2 linked regions of the Diceros bicornis minor genome follow. The protein of the gene in region 1 purifies or fractionates together with the protein of each later gene. This does not show direct contact. Links are inferred from orthologs where the notes say so. Each region holds a gene or a part of one and is shown on either strand. Other genes may lie near its edges.

Evidence for each region. The genes of interacting proteins can lie anywhere in the genome.
Region 2: the proteins of LMNA (region 1) and KPNA6 purify together in Homo sapiens (affinity purification with mass spectrometry; 4 studies listed by BioGRID and IntAct, with this or other methods). This does not show direct contact. The link is inferred for Diceros bicornis minor from reciprocal best matches to the Homo sapiens genes LMNA and KPNA6.

The regions. Positions count from the first base shown.
Region 1 is NC_080743.1:59,724,116-59,733,925, forward strand, and holds the start of LMNA (lamin), read left to right. Parts: upstream 1-5,366; 5' UTR 5,367-5,592; intron 5,593-9,810. Other genes in the region: RNA-binding protein MEX3A, read right to left, coding at 1-321, 3,970-4,423.
Region 2 is NC_080752.1:46,917,380-46,927,700, forward strand, and holds the start of KPNA6 (importin subunit alpha-7), read left to right. Parts: upstream 1-5,891; 5' UTR 5,892-6,031; coding exon 6,032-6,035; intron 6,036-6,075; exon of another isoform or gene 6,076-6,144; intron 6,145-10,321. Other genes in the region: TMEM39B (transmembrane protein 39B), read left to right, coding at 813-933, 2,414-2,656. UniProt on the Homo sapiens protein: Functions in nuclear protein import as an adapter protein for nuclear receptor KPNB1. Binds specifically and directly to substrates containing either a simple or bipartite NLS motif.

The sequences.
Region 1 (9,810 bases):
TGATAATGTACGTGTTGGTCTGCTGCTGGATGCGCTTGATGGTTGCCCCCTTGGGGCCCACCACCAGCCCCACTACGCGGTAGGGCACTCGCACACGAATGGTCACCTGGCCGGGCAGAGCAGGCGCCACGCCAAAGGCGGCGCCCGACTTGTTGCGGGAGGCGCGGATCATGGAGAAGTGCTCGGCTGCTGAGATGATTTCCCGTCGGGCTGTGGCTACGTCCTCCCGCCGCCCGGTCACCATGAACACTGGCTCTTCGCCTCGCACAGGCGTCTTGATGTAGGTGTTGGTCTTGGCCCTCAGAGCCTTAATCTTGCAGCCTGGGATAGGGTGGGGAGGGAGAGAGAAAAAGAAACTCACAAGGCAAGAAGGTTTGTGCTGAGACCAATAAGCTCCTGATCCTTACTCAGATACCCAGCCCCCAAGAACCCCTCAGTCTACCCTTTGAACCCCGCCGCCAATATACCCTGACTTGAACAATCCACTCATGTATCTCAGATATACCCAACGTCTCTATCAACCACAGATGTCAAAATGTACCAAAATTCCCTCGAATTCCACTCAGAGCCCTCCAAATTCATTTACTCCTTGAAGCCCAGAAATAATCACTGACCCTCCCAGACAAGCTGCTAACCTCAAATCAACTCACGAACTCCTCCCCAACCATGTGCTGTTCCTTCAATTTCTCTACTGATTCTTGGCTACTCACAAACTTCCAAATCACTTAATCACCCCTGCCAATCTGTCACTGACCATGATCTTCCCACAGAACCCCAAGGCACTCAGTGACTCCACAATCCACTCCTCACTTGACCTCCATTCACTACAAGTGTCCTCCAATCTACTCAGGGACCCCTGACCCCCATCTGCTCTGTGATCCACGCCCCCGTGCCTTCCGCCCATTAGTGTCTCTCAGTGGGTCCCAAATTCATAGCAAGTTTGCAGCAACTAGTGGAGGTGGGAGACTGGGAAGGGTCTGAGAATCAGAGTTTCAAGGGAGAAAGGAGGAGTATGAAGTTAAAGATAATGACTTGTGAGGGACAGCACCAGACCTTATGGACACTCCTGCCACCCTGTCCCCCTGGGGGCAGGAGAGCTGACATGGGCTGGGGCTGAGCAGGGCTGAGGGGGAAGGTATTCTGGACCTATACTCCTGCTTTGAAGTAGGAGTGGGTTAAAGCTGGGAGGTTGGGGAGAGAGGCAGGAAGAGAAAGAAGAAAGCCGAGACAAAGAGAAACAAAGAGAGAGAAGGGGAAAGAGAAGAGTGAGGGAGGCTGGGATGGCCATACCATCACTAAAGGTTGCAGACCTCAATGGCTGACTGGACAAGCCTCTCTCCTCTTTTCCCACATTCCCTCTCCCTGCCCCGAGCTTCACAGAGCCTCAGAGACTCACACGCTTTCTCAAAGCACACATGCCACATGTGTGTGTGTGTGTGCGCGCGCGCACACGGACCTAAGAGCTGTGAGGCACTGTGTGCCTTTACCTAAACAATACTTGTGGTGCAAGCCTAATACACACTTTCACACACCCCTTTCACACACACATACACAAACACACACGGATTCCCCGCGTTTCAACCTTTCACACTTCCCACTCTTCCATCCCCATCATCCCCAGCACACAAACAGCACATTCCTATACACGCCCACTACTTTTGCCCCCATTCACAACCAGACACGTTCACACCTCTCTCCAGGTACATACTCACCATTCCCCTTCTCACTCCCCCACCACACTACCTATCCCCCCCCAAAACCAACGCCAGTAGTCCTAGTTTTCTGACTCTGCCCCAACCCTCCAACCACAGGCCTGAGGTGAGCTCATTTTTTCCCTCTCCTTCCTCCACTCCAGATGGCTTCCTCTCCAACTCTACCAGATTTGCAGGTGGGAGGATAGAGTAGGTTGAGGGCAGCTCTCCTCACCTTCAAGAGACCTCAGGAAAGAGAATTTGCTCCCCCCTTTTTGTCTTCAGACCTCTTGGCAGTTGAGAAGTCCTACCTGTTGTCAAACCCACATCCCTGCTGCTTTACTGTCAGTAAATGATTGTTCCATTTGTGAGGCATGGAGGGTTGAGGAACAGTGAAGTCCTCTTGCCTACAACTTCTGCTCACATGGCATCTGATAGGCACCTGGGTTCTGGCACTAAGTTTTGGGTCCATAAATTTAAGTGAGAGCTAGGTGTCTTTGGGGGTTGGGGCTGGGGTGAGGAGGACAGCTCAGGCATAAGAGGAAGGAGAAAAGCTAGAGGCCCGGAGGTGCAGAACTGATGGTGGACCTCAGCCTGGGTTTCAAAACTCTGAAGAAGCATCTTTTGAAGGGAAGACTCACTGGGCTTCACCTTCCTGGAGGTCAAATAGAGGAGCACTGACACTGCAGCAGGAGGAGGGAGGTTAGACAAGAGGGAGTACTTCCATAGACTTAAGGAATGAGGGGGCGGTTTATCTTCTCTGAATAGGAGAAATCCCCCTACTTTTATGAGAGACAGGCCCATCTGATGCGGAGGCAGAAGAGGAAAGAATGACTCCATGAAATTCTGGGGCCTCCCAAGATCACCACCACATCCAAGAAAAGATATCAGTGTCCCCACCCAATTCCAGGGCTCTGGGTCCCTAGTTTCTGGCAACAAGAGGAAATCCAACTTTTTAAACCAGAAATCTCAAGAGATGGAGTGCCCCAGGGGGATGAGGGCTGTGCAGGGGAGTGGCATCTTCCCCTCCTCCATTCCGGATCTCCCTGCAAAATCCCCCCAACCCCCAGCACTCCGGGTAGATGAGGTGGGATGTGGAGTAAGGGGCCCCCTGGCTCGCCTCCCCTCTTCCCCTGCCAGCAGCCGGCCTCCTCCCTCACTCACAGCCGGAATGCAGCTCCTCTATTGTTCCCCACGGTGGGACAGCTCCTCCCCTGCTCCTCCCCCACCCAACACCTCCCCAGCCCAGCCCCCTTGCAATTGCCAAATCCCACCCCCCACACACTCCCCTTTGGGAAACCAGGAGAGGGAAGGGTCCCCAAGACCCCCTCTGCTCAGTCTGGACCCTCACCAACACTCCCACCCCCACTAGCCCAGAGATGCTGGAACGGAGGAGGGTGTGGTATCAGACATACTACACTGGATTAATTCTACACCCCCTCACCCAACAACACACCCAGACAGACACACACCCTCCACCAAACCTCCAGGGAAAGGTTTCTTACCCCCCAGCATGACCCCCCCCCACTCTGTCCTACTCTCTCAGGACCAGAGACCCCCTCTCCAGGCCTCTGGCCCCTGGCCGTGGCCAGCCCAGAACAAAAGCTTGAGAGGGAGGAGGAGAGGTCCACGCCAGGACGTGGCACTTCGTTGGAGGCACCCCTTCCAAAACCTCACAGACCGTTCAACTTTGGTGTGTGGGTGACCACAGGACTCCCTCCTCCCAGCAGCCCCCTCCCCACCTCTCCCCCTGGCTGGGACCCTCCCATGAGCCACACCCCCTTCCATTCCTACACTTAGCCCAACAAAGAGACAGATAATCTGGCTTCCCGGGCCAGGTCTCCCTCCAAGTCTGTAACTCCAGGTGGCTGAAGGTCCCAGGGGTGCCCCCTCCCCAACCCACTCTCAGATATCAGAGTAGGGGCTTCTGAGTAACTCTCTGCACATTCCACCAGTTTTTCCGGCTGGGAGTGGACACCCCCTCCGGACAGCCTCCCTGGATTGGGAGACCGATTCCCCCTCCCTTTTCCCTCTCTCTATGAGAGGATATTTCTTTGTCTAAGGGCAGAGCCCTGGGGGAGGAAAGATCTGGAGGACAGTCCCGACTGGGGGTAGCAGGGAACTTTGTGGCACTTGGAAATCAGGGTAGGGGGCGGGTCCCCCTTTGTGGGGAAGGGACCGAGCCAGAGGCAGGCAAGGAGAGAGGAAATGAACTTTCTGCGCTAGGATGGGGTGCCCCCCACTCCAGTCCCTCTCCGCGGTCCGGGCGCCCGCTTACCTTGCCTGCCCACGATCTCGGCCACGTGCTCGGAGGTGGGCACGGGTACACACTCGGTGGTGTTGCTGCTGCCCTTTAGGCGCAGCTCGGCCTCTTTGTAGAGAGCGCAGAGCTTGGCATCGCTGGTCCCTTTGGGGGCGGTGGGGGGCTGGGGCGTCTGCGCCGCGGGGGCCGCCGTCGGGGCGGCCGGGGGCGCCGCCGGCGGCGGCGGCGGGGCCGGCTGCGGGGGGGCGGCCTGCGGCGCGGGGGCGCCGCCCCCCCCACCTCCCCCGTCCTCGCCCGCCGTGGGGGCGGGGGGCTCCCCCAAACCCAGGAGGCAGAGTTGATCGAGAGCCAGCTGAAGGGCGCGCTCGTCTTCCAGCAGCCCTCGGTCCTTAGCGCTTCCCCCGAAACATCCTAGTTCTCCAAAGCCCCCATTTCTTTCCATTATTCCAGATACCACTAGACTAGGCATGGCGAAACAAAAGCTGGGGGAGAGAGAGAGAGGGAGAGAGAGAGAGGTGGTGGAAGGGAAAAGAGGAGAGAGGAGGGGAGGGGAGAGGAGAGGAGGGGGGTGTGTGGGGAGGGGGAACAAAGAACTGGGGAGGGGGGAAGAAAGCGAGATAGAAAGATAGACCCTCCCCCTAAGCCCCCCTCCCCAAACACCCTGTAACCCGACTCCCCTCGCCCCAGCCCCCAGGGTGGGGGTGGGGGGAAAGAGAAGCAAAACCCAGAAGGCAGATCTCCTCTCCTCTCCGGGGCTGACGGGGGGCGGGGGGCTGCGGGATCTCTGCCCCCACCCCTCCCGCCTCGGACCCGGGAGTCTCTAGACCCCGCCGTCCAGACGCCCCCGTTAGGCTCCCGTACCGAGCCCCAGTCCAGGAGCGGCGCTCAGTGGCCCCCAATAGAGCCCAGCCCCTTCCAGCGCTCAAACTCTTTTGTTTTAAATGAACTGGATGGAGCAGCATGGAACTGACGGGAGGGGGGCGCGCCGGGGGCGCCCGGGGCATGCCGGGAGTTGTAGTTTCCCGCTCTCGGGGGCGCAGGGACGAATTCCTTGACCCGAGGAGGATAGGGATCTGCCTTCGGTCTTTAACCACGGCTCGGAGGCAAAGCTGGGGGTGGGATGGAAGTCGAGGTCCCTAATTTTTCCAAGGCGCGGGCACGGGAGAGGAATCAGTGTACAGAAAAGGAACGGATTGAAAAAAGGCTAATGGAGCGCGCCCCTCTCCCAAGACGGGCTCTCTCCGGATCCCGGCCAGTCTTGGGTCCCTCTTTCTTATGATAATGAGGGGGGGCGAGAGGGGGGGGAGCAGTCCCGGCTGGGTCACTGCGGCTTTCTCTGTCTTTACCCTCTTCCCCCTCCCTGCTGCGCTCCCTCTCCGCTCTCCCCCTCCCGCTCTTCCAGAGTCGATCCCGGCTCGGGGCCGCGGGGAGAGGTTCTCCGCAAAGCAGACAAAGCCCGCAACCGCGATGCGGGGAGAACCCGGCTCTGCGCGCTGTGGGGACCAGAATGCGGTGCCAGGCTGGAGGGTGGGACCCCCTGGCAAAAGACGGGGTCCTCTCATCCTCAAGCGGCAAGCCATCCCCCCTCATCCCCTCCCGCCCCCCAGTCTCGGAGATCTGAGAGGCACCGACTGGGAGGTGAGTTAGTTCACGTCCTTCTGATCAGCGGAGGGGAGCTGGGAGGGCTGTGGAGTGATGAGGTGAGGAGGATGAGGGAGTGGAGGGAGAGGAGAGAAGTGGGGGGCAGAGAGCGAGGAGGCAGGGGAAGTCTTAAAGGCATGATGTGACTTAACAGTTTCGGGTGAGAGCCATAAGCTTTGAGTGCGACAGGAGGGAGGAGACACGGGATCGACTGAGGACCCAGACTTCCTTCAGGCCTGGGCCATGCATACAGCTTGGAGGTGATCTGTTCCTTAACCTCCATCATCATTCCACTTTGCCTCGCCCATGTCTCCCCCATTGGAAACCCATTAATTCAGCTTCTTTGACTCTGGAAATTGGTGAAAGTAAAAATAAGTTTTTAAGGCATGAAATGGACAGTTGGGTACTTTTAGGGGGAGTTTGGGGAAGTTGGAGTGTAATGCAATCTTTTCTTCTCCCCTTAGCCCATATCTTCAGCATTTATTTTTTGTCACCCTTTTTATGCCTGGGTCTTTCCCAAGAGGAGAAAGGATAGCACTGCAGCTTGAGGGCTTGAGATCAGACTTTAAGAAGAACTTCCCAAGAAGAGTTTTATACGAATGGGTGGGTGAGCTACAGTGGTAAGCTGTCCTTTTCTGGAGTGCCTTGGAAACCAAAAATCTGAGCTAGTTTGTGAGGTAAAGTCCTGCTTGGAGGCAGGGGAACAGATGAGATGACCTCATAGACCTGGCACTGTGAGGCCTTGAGGGCTGAACTGCGAAGCCCAGTTCCCTAAATTGATTCTTGGAAAGAAGAAATTTGCACACCAATGGGAGGGTGGGAGCCAAGGTGGAGGATCTCAGGAGGGGTTGGGGGTTGGCTCTTGCTCCTTTGCTAGGCAGAAGATCAGGGAAGGGGAGCCATGACTGAGGAACCCCAGAAGGCCCCAGAGTTGGGGAAGGGTCCCCTCTGGATCATGGATTTAACATAAGATTAACTACAAACCTTATTGTGGGATTGGGCGCTACCGCCACCAAGCAAGAGCAGGAGAGGAAGAATTGGAGAGACAAGGCCCTGTGGGAGTGGGCTGTCCCTACTCTCGTTCCCTTTCCTTCTGCCCCAGGAACCTGGATTGGGGGAACTGTGGTACTCGGGACTGTGGGGCTCTCGTTGGGGTAAGGTTCCTGCTCTGTGGACCAGGGAACTGGTTTTCACATTAATAGAAATAGCCAACAGTTGCACAGGACTGATTGTGTGCCAGGCATTTTTGTCTCCAGTTGGTCTGAGCCTTCCTGTCCCTCTAGACACCCACCCCTGAATTTGCCCTGCTTCCACTTTCCTCCCCACTAAGCTAATTAAAGCGGGAGGTTAATGACCAAAGAAGCCTTGGGGATTTGGCTGGGGAGGAAAACAAAGGACAGAAACAAGTGTGTGCGAGCGGGGAGGGGGACAGCTGCTGAGTGGGAAGGGGTAGACTGAGGGGTGGGGTGGGGAGGCTGCGGTCCCTGCTGGACCCCCCTCACTGATCCAGCAAGGACAAATCAGCCCCCTGGGTGCGTTCTTTTGCCACGTGTCCACCCTCGGTGTCCCGCTGCGACTCCAGACAGATATCCAAGGCAGGAGAGGCGAGCGGGACCTGGCACGTAGAGGGCAGGCTGTGTGTGAGCACTTAGGTCTGTGGCGTGGGCAGACACATGGGAGTGTGTGCCTGCAGATTGTGGGGGTATATCCACCACCGCCGGGACTACCAGAGCGCGAAGGTGGTGGAGGAGCCCGAGGGTGGGCACCTTGAGGAGCCGGGTTCTCAGGGGGGGTTTTGATGTGTCCTTGCCTCGCTCCCAGAGGCCAGTGGCCTCCTTTGTGGAGGTGACTTGTGTTGGCCAAGCTAGGTTTCTGTCCATGGGCCCTCCTCTTCCTCCCTCCCCCTGCCTGCTCAGTCTAGAATTAAGGCGTGAGGGCCAAACGCCTTACCTAAACAATTTTGCTTGGAAACAGACAGCTGTGCCCACTCCACCCCACCCCTCACTCTCTGCCTTATGACCACAAAGTTGTGTAGTGGCATATCTCTCCTCTTCAAGACCCTTGGAGGAGAAGACTGTGTCTCTCATCTTTGTCATTGTCCCCCACCCTGGCCTCCCAGTGCCCAGCACATGCCCCTGCCCAGAGCAGATGCTCAGTAAAGGTGTGTGGAGTGTAACTGCATGTTCGAAGCTTCAAGGTGTAAGAGGAAGGAGGAGGCCTCAGAGCCAAACATGCTGCTTCTTAGTTCTGCTCCTTGGGCAAGCATTTCCCAATGAGTCTCAGTTTCCTCATCTCTAAAATGGAAATAATAAGCCAAGTCCCTAGCGCGGTGCCTGGCTCCGCTTAGGTGTTCAGTCAGTGTTAGTTTTCCAGCTCCGGTTGTTCTCCCTTTGCAGTTGACTTTAGCTAGACTGTGGTCTTCATTAATTAATTTTCATTAATTCATTCAGCTAACCACCTCCTATTGAGTGCTTAGGATGTGCTAGGCGCTGGAGGAGATCCTGACCCACTGTGAGTCACTTGAAGTCAGTTCTAAATCTACACTTGCAGAAATAAGATCATCCAAAACAAACAGCAGATAATTCCAAAAATAATTCCTGTTGAGCACTGGAATGCAGGTGAACTCTCTCTCTCTCTCTCTCTTTCTCTCTCTCACTCTCTCTCAGACACGCGCGCGCACACACACACACCGGCCAGGCTCCTGGCCTCAGGCCTGAGGATCAGAGGACGCTGTGGAGTTTTTGAGTTGGTTGTATGTGCAGTGTGTGTCTATGTGCAAGAGTATCTGCATGTGTGTTCATGTGTGTATACACAGGCCTGGCTGCCAGGCAGGAAGGGTGACCCAGTCGAGAGTGGGGTGGCCCAGGGTTAGTGTGGAAGCTGGAGGACAGGAGTTGGGGGGTGACCCAGACAGTGCTTGTCTGTGTGTGGAGCTCTGTCCCCTCTCTCCTCCGAGCAAACCTGGGCACCTGTTATCACTGCCTATTCACCCAGAACCAAGGGATGGGGCACACACTTAACACCTGCCCCTCCTCTGCTCGGTTCTCAGAGCCCCTAGGGAGGGAGGGAGAGACAGGAGGCTGCACCAAGCCTGCCCTCCCAAGCTGGCTGGCCCTTATGAGGTTATCTCCTCCATCTCCTACTCCTCTCCAATGCCTTCTCCATCTGTCCTAGTCAGCCGAGCCTCCTCTCTCCCATGCTCTGTGAGATTTCCATTTTCTTTTCTTAATACCTCTCCCTTATGGGAAGTCCACCTTGCCACCTAAACATCATCCTTCCTGCTGAGAGGGCGGCCAGTTTTCTTTCTGTTGCTGGAATACACTCAACTCATTAATTTCAATCAATGAGAATGTATTGGGTAAAATTCTGTAGGACATACGAAGGAAATAGCAGACTTGATCTCTGCCTTCAGCAGAAACACAGAGACACAGAAACCGGCCTACATGGCCCAGAGAACATGGGCAAACAGGATTCAATGTGAGGGCAAAACAGTCTTCTGGACTGGGAGAGCTGCAGAGATTGGAGGAGAGAGGAGGTCACTATGGGTCCTTGTGGACTCGATCTCCAAGGGCTTTAAAGGCCTAGCCTGAGGTTTGGACCTGGACAGACAAACACCTCTGCTCCTCCCCTGGGACCACGCCAGCATTCCCCCTACCAGGTCCCCTGCACCGTCTGATTTCCCCAGGGAGCGCAGCTCAGAGGGGCTGGGGTGGAGCCAGGGCCCCCCAAGACAGCTGGCTGACAGGGCCCTTCTGGGACTCAGGGCCAGACCCAGGCGTCCGGGAGGCGGGTGATACCTGAGCTGTGACAGTTGGTCCCCAGATTCCTCACCCAGTGGCGCCAGCTCTAGTTTCGGGCTGGGGTGAGGGAGGGGACAGGCGCCTGGTGCCAGCCAGGGCTGGGTGCTCTCTTGGGGCAAGGAGGGGAGGCAGTAAACATGCCCTTGGTAGATTGTTGAGGAGGGATTTTTCCATTGCCCTCTCTGAGCCAGGTTCTGTGCTAGACGCTAACAGGGGATACTGAAGCACAAGATACAGTCTGGCACAGATGAATATAAAAGATAGACTCACAGTACAGAAGGTCATAGCTGGAATAGAAGTTGAGTGAATGAATGAATGAATGAATGCAAGAATGAATGGCTTCATTAATTATCTAATGGCCTTGTGAGGCCCAGAGGACCCAGGTCCCGTGACTCTCTTGTGCCTTCTGTTCCAT
Region 2 (10,321 bases), on another chromosome or scaffold:
TGAGGACACAGAGATGAATTGGACACCGTCCGTTCCCTCAAGGGCTCCTAAACTAGTGAGGGATACAGGAGTATAAATAAGTGATAAAACACTGGGGAAAGTGGACCAGTAGCAGGAGATTTAAGGAGGTGTTAATGGATGCTGAACTCTGTGGGGAGTTTGAGAAAGGCTTTCTGGAGCATCCTGGATTTTCAAAGATGGCAAAGAGCTTACCAGAAGGATAAGGCATCAGGAAGGGCAGTCCAATTGGAGGGAGCGACTTATGCAGAGACATGAAGCATTAAGGTATGTTGGAGGAACTAGAAACAGTTCTGAATGGCTTGAGCATGAGGTGTGTGGTGGGAGCCATGGAAGGCCACACAGGGCCTCAGAGGCCATGCCAGATCCTTGGGGACTTGATCCTAAGAGCACTGGAAAGCCTTCAGACGGTTTTGAGCAGAGAATAGTCAGGCTCAGCTTGGTATTTTACAAAGACCACTCAGGCAGCTGTGTGGTGGACCAATTGGAGGCTAGAGATGAGAACTATTGGAGACTAGATGAAGAAAATGACCCCAGAGAGGGAAAAGGGTTTTCTTGACAGTCTCTCAGACGTTAATGTCAGCCCTAGACCTACTGACTCCCAGTGCAGTGATTTCTCATGATTCTTACCCCATTTTACAGGAGAGGCAACTGAGACCCAAAAAAGAAAAGTCACTATGTCTAAGTGATAGAAATGGGAGTAAAGCCCTGGTGGTCACCCCGTGCCTAATCTTCTGGTATCCCCTTTTGTGGGTGAGCTGGGCGTAAGGGATGCTGTTGGGCTCTGCCTCCAGGTGGACTGAAGAATGCATGTGGCCACAGGGCGTGCTGGTGAAGCACAGCAAGAACGTCTACAAAGCAGTGGGCCACTACAACGTGGCCATCCCCTCTGATGTCTCCCACTTCCGGTTCCACGTGAGTCTCCTCCCCTGGGAAGGATGGGGAGGGCCTGACTAGAGGGCAGGAGGATCAGCAGGGCAGGAAGGTGATGTCATACAAGAGAAAGCTATTTTCAGTATTTCCCAAATCCAAAGGAAGACAGTGCACACGTGCAGCACAAGGACAGCCGTATAAATGATCACTTCATAACTGCAGCTCACTTGGTAGCAAATGTTTGAAAACACTGGGTGGGGAAGACGATACAATAAAAGGAGGGGTTCTTGGTAGTGAAAATAGTAACTGTCATTCCTTCTAGTGTGCCAGGCACTGTGGTAAGTACTTCCCATGCACCCTCCCATTCAGTTGTCACAGAACCTTGTGTATGAAAAATGCCAGGGCTATCCCCATTTGCGGATACTGAAATCGGCTTAGAGAATTTAATTTGTTCAAGGGTGCCTTACTGGGAAACTTGGGAACTGATGGTAATGACTCGTGGGCTCAGCTCTGTGGAAAAGACTGTGCAAAATCATCTAGGCTAGTGATCTCCATTTTATTTATTTATTTTATTATCAAAATCTTTTTTTCCAACACAGTCATAGATTAAAGTCCAATATGTAGGACCTTATGGCACTGCTCTATTTGAAAGAGTTGGAATGCCCTTCACTTCCCACTTCCCACTGCTATAGCCCCTAAAAGACCTCCTCAGAACCTCGGGCTCTGAGGAACCTAGTTGAGGAAGCATTGATCTAGGCTGATCTCTTCACTTCACAGTAGAGAAACCTGAGGCCCAGACAGGGAAGGGACTTGCCCAAGGTCCTGTAGCCTGTCAGGTGTAGAGCTGAGCCTGGCACACTGGTCTCTTGGACTCCCATTTCCTGCCACTTCTCCTCCCATTCTGTAAGCAGCTTTTGACGTTTAGGTACCTTGACCTCTGCAGAATCAAGATCCCCTAGACGTTGATTACTCTTTTGAACTGATCAGAAAATTTTTCTTGAGTCCCTATACTCTGCCTTGCCCTGTAAACACCAAGTAAGAGTGAGGTATCACTATGTCCCCTGGAAGCTTCTGGCCTAGCTGGGGATGCTACACATGAAGTAGTGGGTGACTCATGCTGTAGAGTCTATAATAACTTTCCATGCCTATGTCATAAGATTCTAATTTGTTCAGGCCTGACAGTACCCAGGAGGATCACATGTAAAAAGGTGTTGATTTTAGACCAGAAAAAGTATGAAAGAGTGAGTAAGACCTCTCAAGAAAATCTTCCTGGAGGAGGTAGAAGTTGAAGAGGATCTTAAACAATTTATATGGGAAGCAGTAGTCTTGACAGAAGGAACAGCACAAGCAAAGGCAGAGAGGTGGCAAAGTCTGCGCCTATCACTATGAAGTCTTCTTCCCCACCCAAGTCTGCATGGGGTCCCAAGAGCTTGTCCTCTTCACTGGCCCACCCAGAACTCCCATCCAAGAAGCAGGTTTCTGGAATATACTTTCCAGTCCATGCCTACTCTTTCCTGGGCAGTTCTTTTTCAGCAAACCCTTGCGGATCCTCAACATCCTTCTGCTGCTGGAGGGTGCCGTCATTGTCTACCAGCTGTACTCCTTAATGTCCTCTGAAAAGTGGCACCAGACCATCTCACTGGCGCTCATCCTCTTCAGCAACTACTATGCCTTCTTCAAGCTGCTGCGGGACCGCCTGGTATTGGGCAAGGCCTACTCGTACTCGGCCAGCCCCCAGAGGGACCTGGACCACCGGTTCTCCTGAGCCCCAGGGCAACCCCAGGGACAGCATCCAGGCTTCAGCCAGGGGCTCCCTGGGAAGGGGCTGTTGGGGAGGGATGGGTGAGGGGCAAAAACAAAAAAAGACAAAAAAATCCACCAGAGCTTTGTATTTTTGTTACATACTGTTTCTTTCTTTGATAATTGATGTGATTATGAGGAAAACAAAAGTCCTATTTTTATACTCCCAATAAGCCTGTGTCCTGTATTTCTTTCCCTTCTTGCCTGTCAGGCAGAAAGCAGATGTGTGGGATTCTGGGTGGGGAAGCCCCGCTGTGGCTCCTGGGGCCCCTGTGGGCTCTGCCTTCTCCAGTGGAAAGGAGATGAGTAGGCACCAGAGGTCATGGTAGCAGTGACAGCTGCTGCTAGCTGAGTGCTCACTGTGTACCGTGCTGCTCTATGTGTATTATAGGCCTTGTCTTAATCCAACTTTCATGATAATCCTAGGAGGTAGGTGCTGTCACTTCTCTTAAAGATGAAGAACGAGCTCAGAGAGCTGTAATGACTTGCCCAAGGTAACACAGCTAGGAGGTAGAGCTGGGCCCCAAAACCTTCTGAAAGGTGACATATTAACCTAGCAGAATGTGATGTCCTGATTCTCTCAGCATGCAGTCACTGAGACCCTGCTCTCTGCTAGGTGCTGTGGTACATGGTGAGGATGCCAAGACACAGAAACAAGTCATACTACACTGGGATGGGTGTAACAGTTACAGGGGAGGGAATGGTTAATGCTCTGTGGACTTCCTGGAGGAGGGGTAGTCTGAGTTGTATCAGCCACTTCCCAGGTGGACAAGAGGGAGACTTGGCAGAGTCTACACTTAAGCAGAGAAAAGCGTACGAGTAATAGCACAGAGATTTGGAACATCGTAATGTATTGGGGGAAGGGAAGCAGAATGTGGTTCCTAGAGCAGAAAGGATAAGGAAAGTGAGGTGGGGGTGGGTTGGAGCTAGAAAGGTCTGCAGGGACTGGATCAGGGAGGACCAATGGCTCTAGGCTAGGGAGAGTGAGTGAGCAAGGCCAAGTGCTAGAGTGGAAATACAAAGCTGCTTGGAGGGCCACCTGGCTCTTAGGGGGCATAGGATGGAGAGCTCAGGAGTAAGAGAAGAGGAGACACAGACAGTCATAGCCACTTGTCTAGTCTGCCCGTGTTCCCCGAGCCCTATTGGCCACAGGATATGCAGATAAGTCCACGGTGGTGTATTAGAGACAGACACTGCAACCAGCGTTTTTGATGCCTCTGTTGAGGAAGGCATTGTGCCAGGTGCTGGCACAGATACAAAGATGAGGAAGATTCTATCCCTTCCATAGACAACCAGCAGAGAGAGACATTGTCATGAGCAAATTAGGGTGCTAAGTGCTGAGGAAAACATGTGTCCAGGGCACTGAGGAGCAGAGAGGACAGACACCCTGACTCTGGAAAGACAGGCTTTTTCAAGGAGGTGAGAGTTGAGTCTTGAAAGTGAGTAGGTCACACCATGGTCAAGAGGAAAGAGAGGGCATTGCATTTCAAGCAGAGGGAACAGCATGTGCAAAGGCACAAGAGAAGATAGGGACATATTTGGGGAAAAGTGGTTCCCCAAATATGGATGGAGCCTGGGTTGCCTGGTGGGGAGCAGCCTAAGAAGCCAGTAAGGACCAGCCCGTGTGTCAGATTGAAATGTTTGTGCATTACCTAAGGGCAGATAGTAGGAAGTTGCTGAGCAAAGGAGTGACATGAAAAGGTCTCTGATTTTAAGGAGATAGTGGGTGCGGGTGGGAGAGCTTGGAGGCAGGAGACCAGTGAGGAGGCAGGCAAAATAGACCAGGAGAGAAAGAAGAGGTCTGACCTTGAGCAGTGGCAGTAGGAATGATACCAAACCAAGTGGGCTCGCCTCCTGGTGAGTTAAATAAGACTCTACACCAGTGGAAGTTGTCTCACAAAGTAAAGTGTATTTGCAACAAATACTAGGCCATGAGGAATCATTTCCCAAGTTGTGGTGTCCCCGAACAAAGGGAAGCAGGAACTTTTATTTCGGTTGGGGAATGAATATTCAAAAGGGAGAGGTGGGTTATGCACTGCAGATTATGGTAATGAGGCTTAATCTCCGCTTGCAGAGATCGCATTAAAAATCAGGCAAGGTCATGGGCATAGCTCTTGTAAAGAGGCTTGGTTGCTTCAGAGTGGTTGCTGGTTTTGTCTCCTTAACATAAAAACACAACTTGGAAAAACAGTTAAATGCTTCCAAACCCACCCTTGAGTTCCTTGGGGCACTAGTCAGTGACAGGAAGAGAAAGGTAGTGCTCCCTTTCCTGACCATGAGTTCTAGAGTGGGGTTTTTGAGTTGTTTCCCTAAATGAGCCCACCAGGCACACAACTAGAGTTGGCAATTTGTTGTGACAGGACCTGGAAGCCCACATTGCTCTTTCTGCTTCCAAAAGGCATCTCCCTCTGGGACCAGTGACTTGAAGACATAGGCTTCCTCTGTGTGTTGAGGTGGAGGACAGGAGGACGGGCATGTCACTATGCAAAAAGGGAGGCCTACTATGTACCAGCCATAAATTCCATGATTCAAAAGGCACATGAACACTCAGAGCCTCAATTTCCTCATCTCTAAAAAGGGAGATCATATCCCTTGCTTTGTGTAACTTACAGGCTGTTCATTTGTTTATTCATTCAACAATTATTTATGGAGCACATACCATGTGCCAGATACTGTGCTAGGTGCTGGAGATACAGTGATGAACAACACAGGACCCACCCTTGCCTTCAGAGAGCTTACTGTAAGGACAAATGAAATAGCTCTGTTGACTATAAAGCACTGCACCTGTCTCATTCTTTTTCTACTTCTTATCTCCCAATAGGGTTGTAATCGGGTTTACTCTTGACTTCATTTCCCTACCTCTATATCCTTGAGCAAGTCACTTCCCCTCTCCAGATGATTCCTTTTTCATATCCAGCTCAAGGGTCTATGATTGGCTTTAATTACGAAAGGAAGGAATATCTTTCTGGGAGAAAAAGTTTCTAGGGGAGGAAATCTCACTATAAAGAGGAAATAGTAGCAGAAAAACCTGGGAACTCCCAGGCACGCTGAACTTTCTTTAGTAGGCATCCCTCCCAGTCTCTCTCCGCCCACTCCTTTCATATTCCGCCCCTATTCCCCGCCTTTAATAGCTGCGGTCTCTTTAAGTGTGCGCCTTGGTGTGAACTAGGCTGCAGGGCTGAAAGCGCGTTTCTTCGCTGGACTGAATATTGAGTTGTTTGTCCGTTTCGGGCTGCCGTCCTGCAGATCCGCCATATTGTCTGCTGAAGCTGCAGCTGAAGCTCGCCGCTCCCGTCGCCGCCGCCGCCGCCGCCGCCAAGTAGGAGCGAGCGGAGCCGCGATGGGTGAGTAAGGAAACCAGGCGATTGGGGACTCGAGCTGAGGCAGTCTCGGGGTTAGGGGTCTGGCGAGAGCCTGTCTCCGGTCTGCAGAGGATATCCGAGGCCCTTTCAAGTAGGTTTGAGGGGAGAAGCCAGGCCGGGAGTGCCGCTCAGGCCAGTTTGGGGCCGGGCTAGGGCCCATGCGGAGATCAGTCTTCGGGGGCTGGTTCTGGGGACACCTTGTCAAGCCTGGAGCCCCCACGTGGTGGCTCTAGGCCGGAGCCTACGCGTTCCCGGAGGCTAGAAAGGTGCCGACCCTCCGGCCTGCGCCGAGACTGGGGCTGGGGGACGGGCTCCCGGCGGCAGGCCCAGCCGGTGCTAAGGGAGCTCTCTCCAGGCGTGTGTTTGACCGACGCGCATCTTGACTGGATTCGGTGACTCCCCTGAACTCAGGGAAATGTTGCCTACGTCGCGGGTTGAGTCCTCCGTTGAGGAGACGCCAGGCGAGCCAACTCCAGGCCCGTAACCAGGGGCAGCCATGCCAAAGGCAGCCTGGGCCGTTCAAGGCCGGGAGAAGTTCCCGAGCCGAGGCGGAAATGGGGTGGTTCGGTTGGTCTCAGAGTGGACAGCCTTCGTAGTGGTAGAAAACCAAAGGCCGAGACTTCGTGGCCATATATAGGTCGGGGACTTCGGTTTCTGCGCCCGGCCCTGGTTAGGAGAAAAGGAGCGACCTGTTGCTCGTTCTGAAGGGACTCCAGCTGGCAAGGCCTGTGCTTAGAATACGATGGCCAAGTTTTTGGACTTAGGGACAGAACTGTCAGTGGTATTTCCTCTCCAGCAATAAAAACTATTAAATTTGCTAAGCTCTTCCTATGTGCAGGCATTGTTCTGACTGCTTTACATGTCACGTTTCACTTAAAGTGCACAGCCTAATGAGATACATACTACTGTTACCCCTATTTTACAGATGGGAAAACTGAGCCTTAGAGAGGCAAAGTAACTTACCCAAGGTCACACAGTGGCTAAACCAGAGTGATCACTCCAGAACCCTAGTTTATAGCTGCTGTTCTTTATGGCCTGGCCCCCTGGTGGTTGGGGTGGAAGAGGGGGGAAGAAAGCTTTTAACCCTAGGGAAAGTTGTAAAGGTGGTTTGCTGTGTTGTTTTTTTTGCTGGTGGGCCGACTTTGAAATCTTTAGTCTGAAGGAAACTGAAAAAACTCCAAAGTGAATTGCTAACCCCAGCTACTGCGTGGGGCGGGGGGGGGGGGGCGGCTAAATGAGATTCTAGGATTGAGTTTTGTAAGATTCCTGATTCTGAGGAAAGAAAAATTATTCCCTTGAGCTGCAATGCAGTGACTTCAGAATCAGATCTGGTATTTTAATCCTGCCTGCCACTTCCTAGCTCTCATCCAGAGAAGTCACTTAAATGTCAAATGCAGTAATGCATAAGGAAAGCATCTAGCACAGTCCACAATAAATGTTATGTTCCTTCCTTTCTGAGCCTTCCTTTCCTCATCTCTAGAAAGAGGGGAGGGGGCAGTGTTATCAAGGTGTTTGAGAACTAAATAACATAACACAAGCGTTTGGAGTCTAGTAAGGGCTCTATAAATATCAGAACAGATTCCTTTCCACCCTCAATGTTAGTTCCTTTCCCTTAAGCACTCTGGTTTCCAGAATCCTCCATTAAGACTGATAGGCCTGTCTTTATAACTGCAGCTTTATGTATCAATGAAAAATTTTAGGGGTTTTTATGTTATAGATTTTTGTGTTGGCCTTCAATTTCAGAAACCCTGGTGTCTCAAAGGGAAGTGGCTAATGTTTAGTTTATTAAGCTCAGTGAAATAAATTTGGTAGTGGTTTACTCAATTTTTATAGACTGGGGAACTACCTGAGAGAAGATAACACAGCTAGTAATCAGCAAAGCCAGAAGTGAGATTCTTACCCATTTTGCTGCCCGTAAACCTCTTACAAGACATAAGGTGTGAAGTAAAGTTAGTCCTTTTTTAGTAGACTTGGAAATGAAAGTTCTTCACTGGAGCAGCAAAATCTGACCAGAGGCCCGAAGGAGATTTTTAGTCTAGAGTCAGGCAGCCTCTCCTTTTCTCTCCAACTCCATTTCAGGTACCTCTCACCTGTGCCACTTTGTCTTTTTGAACATCCAGCTATTGGTGTGTGTTTGGAGTTTTTTGTTTTTGGCTGATTCTTATACCATGGGAGTGAAACTAGTGTAAGGATACATTTAATCCTGACGTCAAATCTGAGATAGTTTGGGTTATCCTCATTTATAAATGAGTAAACTGAGGCTTTCAGAAGATTAGGTGACTAGTCCAAGGCTGGTGATCTAAGCCCTTTGAGTGCTGGGGACACTAACAGGGCCTGCGTCACATTTCCATGAATCTAGAACCTGCTGTATTTCACTGCCTCTCAGGTATACTCTCCTTGAGCTCTGGCCTATATCCTATACTATTTCTCACTAGCCTTAAGAGACCTTTGTAGTGATTTCACTGCCATTAGGAGCCCTGTAGGCTTCATGCAGCTCTGGAAGTTACTTATTCTGACCCTTCCTATCAGAGACCACAGCCTCTCAAGACTAAGTCTTGGCAGATGCTGGTTGTTTTATCACCATTTCTGCCGTGTTGCTTCCCAGGAATCTGGCATCCCCTCCCCAGCCTCAGAGGGTGGGTCTTGATTAATATAAACTCTAAACCAGTCATTGTAATTCTATCTCCCTAGGCAGTGATTGCTTTAGGCATGGGCATGTGACGCAGTTCTGGCTAATTAGATGTGGAGAAAAGCCTAGGGGACTTCTGGAAAAGCCTTCCTCATTTCAAAGAGATTTGCCTGGTTTTATTATTTTTTGCCAGCTTATATTTTAACCCACGTATCACCAAAGTGTGAGAGCCTCAAAAAAAGACAGAGAGATGGGAAAGCTATAATGATAGCCAACACTTATATAGAACTCGCTATATGCTAGACACTAAGTTCTATAATATTAACTCATTTAATTCTCAGATTCTCATGTTCTACTTGAGGAAACTGAAGCACAGAGAGGTTTAGTAACTTTTGCAAGGAAAAGAGCTAGTAGAAGAACCACTTACTCAAGTAGTATGGTTCTAACCAAAATAGGGGCTATTAAGGTCTATATTCTGCCTCTGGAAAGGAAAGAGCCCTTTTCTGACTCTGAAATTGCCATTAGCAATGCTGGGATCATGAGGCAGAATTTATAATAATAAATAAGAGTAGGCAATTCTAAGGATGAGGATAGAAAAGATGGAAAAAATCTGATATCTTCATGATGTTTTTGAGCCACTGAACTAGCCAACTTGGGAACTGTCTTATCTCTGGGCTTAAATAGGATACCGAAGGCCCCTTCTAGGTTGCTTTTAGCTGCAAGTAACAAAACCTTTCTAACTGATAACGCTTCCAGGTCAGGAAGTAACTTAGCCCATCTCTTCTCTTAGTTTCCCTCCAGTCTTGCCCACCCACTCCACAGTTCATAACAGTTACTTGCAGAGAAGGCACTAAACCATCAATCACCACCTTAATGTCCCACAAGCATTGAACTCACTCCCTATGCCTGGACTTCTTTTCCTGCTTTTTTGTTGATGCTGGGATTATTGGCCCAGACACTAGAGCATAAGATAGAAACCATATCCATCTTTGGTTCCTTGCTCTTTTCTTCCCTTTCTATATAGCAATTATTGGATACTCTATGATCCTATTACTGAGGTCTTCCCTAAATTGCTTTGTGTAGGTTTCTCTCACAGCGTAGTCCCGCAAAGAATATTAATTCTGTGGTCTTTAACCTTGCTGAGTCTCAGGCTCCTCAGAGTGAAAATATGGATAATACTATATATTAATGTTGTTAGTGAAGAGTCAGTGAAGTACTAGATACAAAAAAATATCGTAGGTGCCGGCCCAGTGGCACAGCGGTTAAGTGTGCGCACTCCACTTTGGCGGCCCAGGGTTCGTAGGTTTGGATCCTGGGTGCGCACTGACACACCGTTTGTCAAGCCATGCTGTGATGGTGTCCCATATAAACTAGAGGAAGATGGGCACAGATGTTAGCCCAGGGCCAATCTTCCTCAGCAAAAAGAGGAGGATTGGCATCGGATGTTACCTCAGGGCTAATCTTCCTCACACATGCACGCACAAAAATATTGTAAATTGTAAAGGTGTTATTACTTCAGAAGCCCTCCAAATCTCTTCTGAGGCCTCCCCTACCACTACCAATTCTGCAGCAACGTTGCTAAAACACCCATCTGATCTTGTCACTCTTCTTAGTTTAGGAACTTTCACAGACTCCTTAT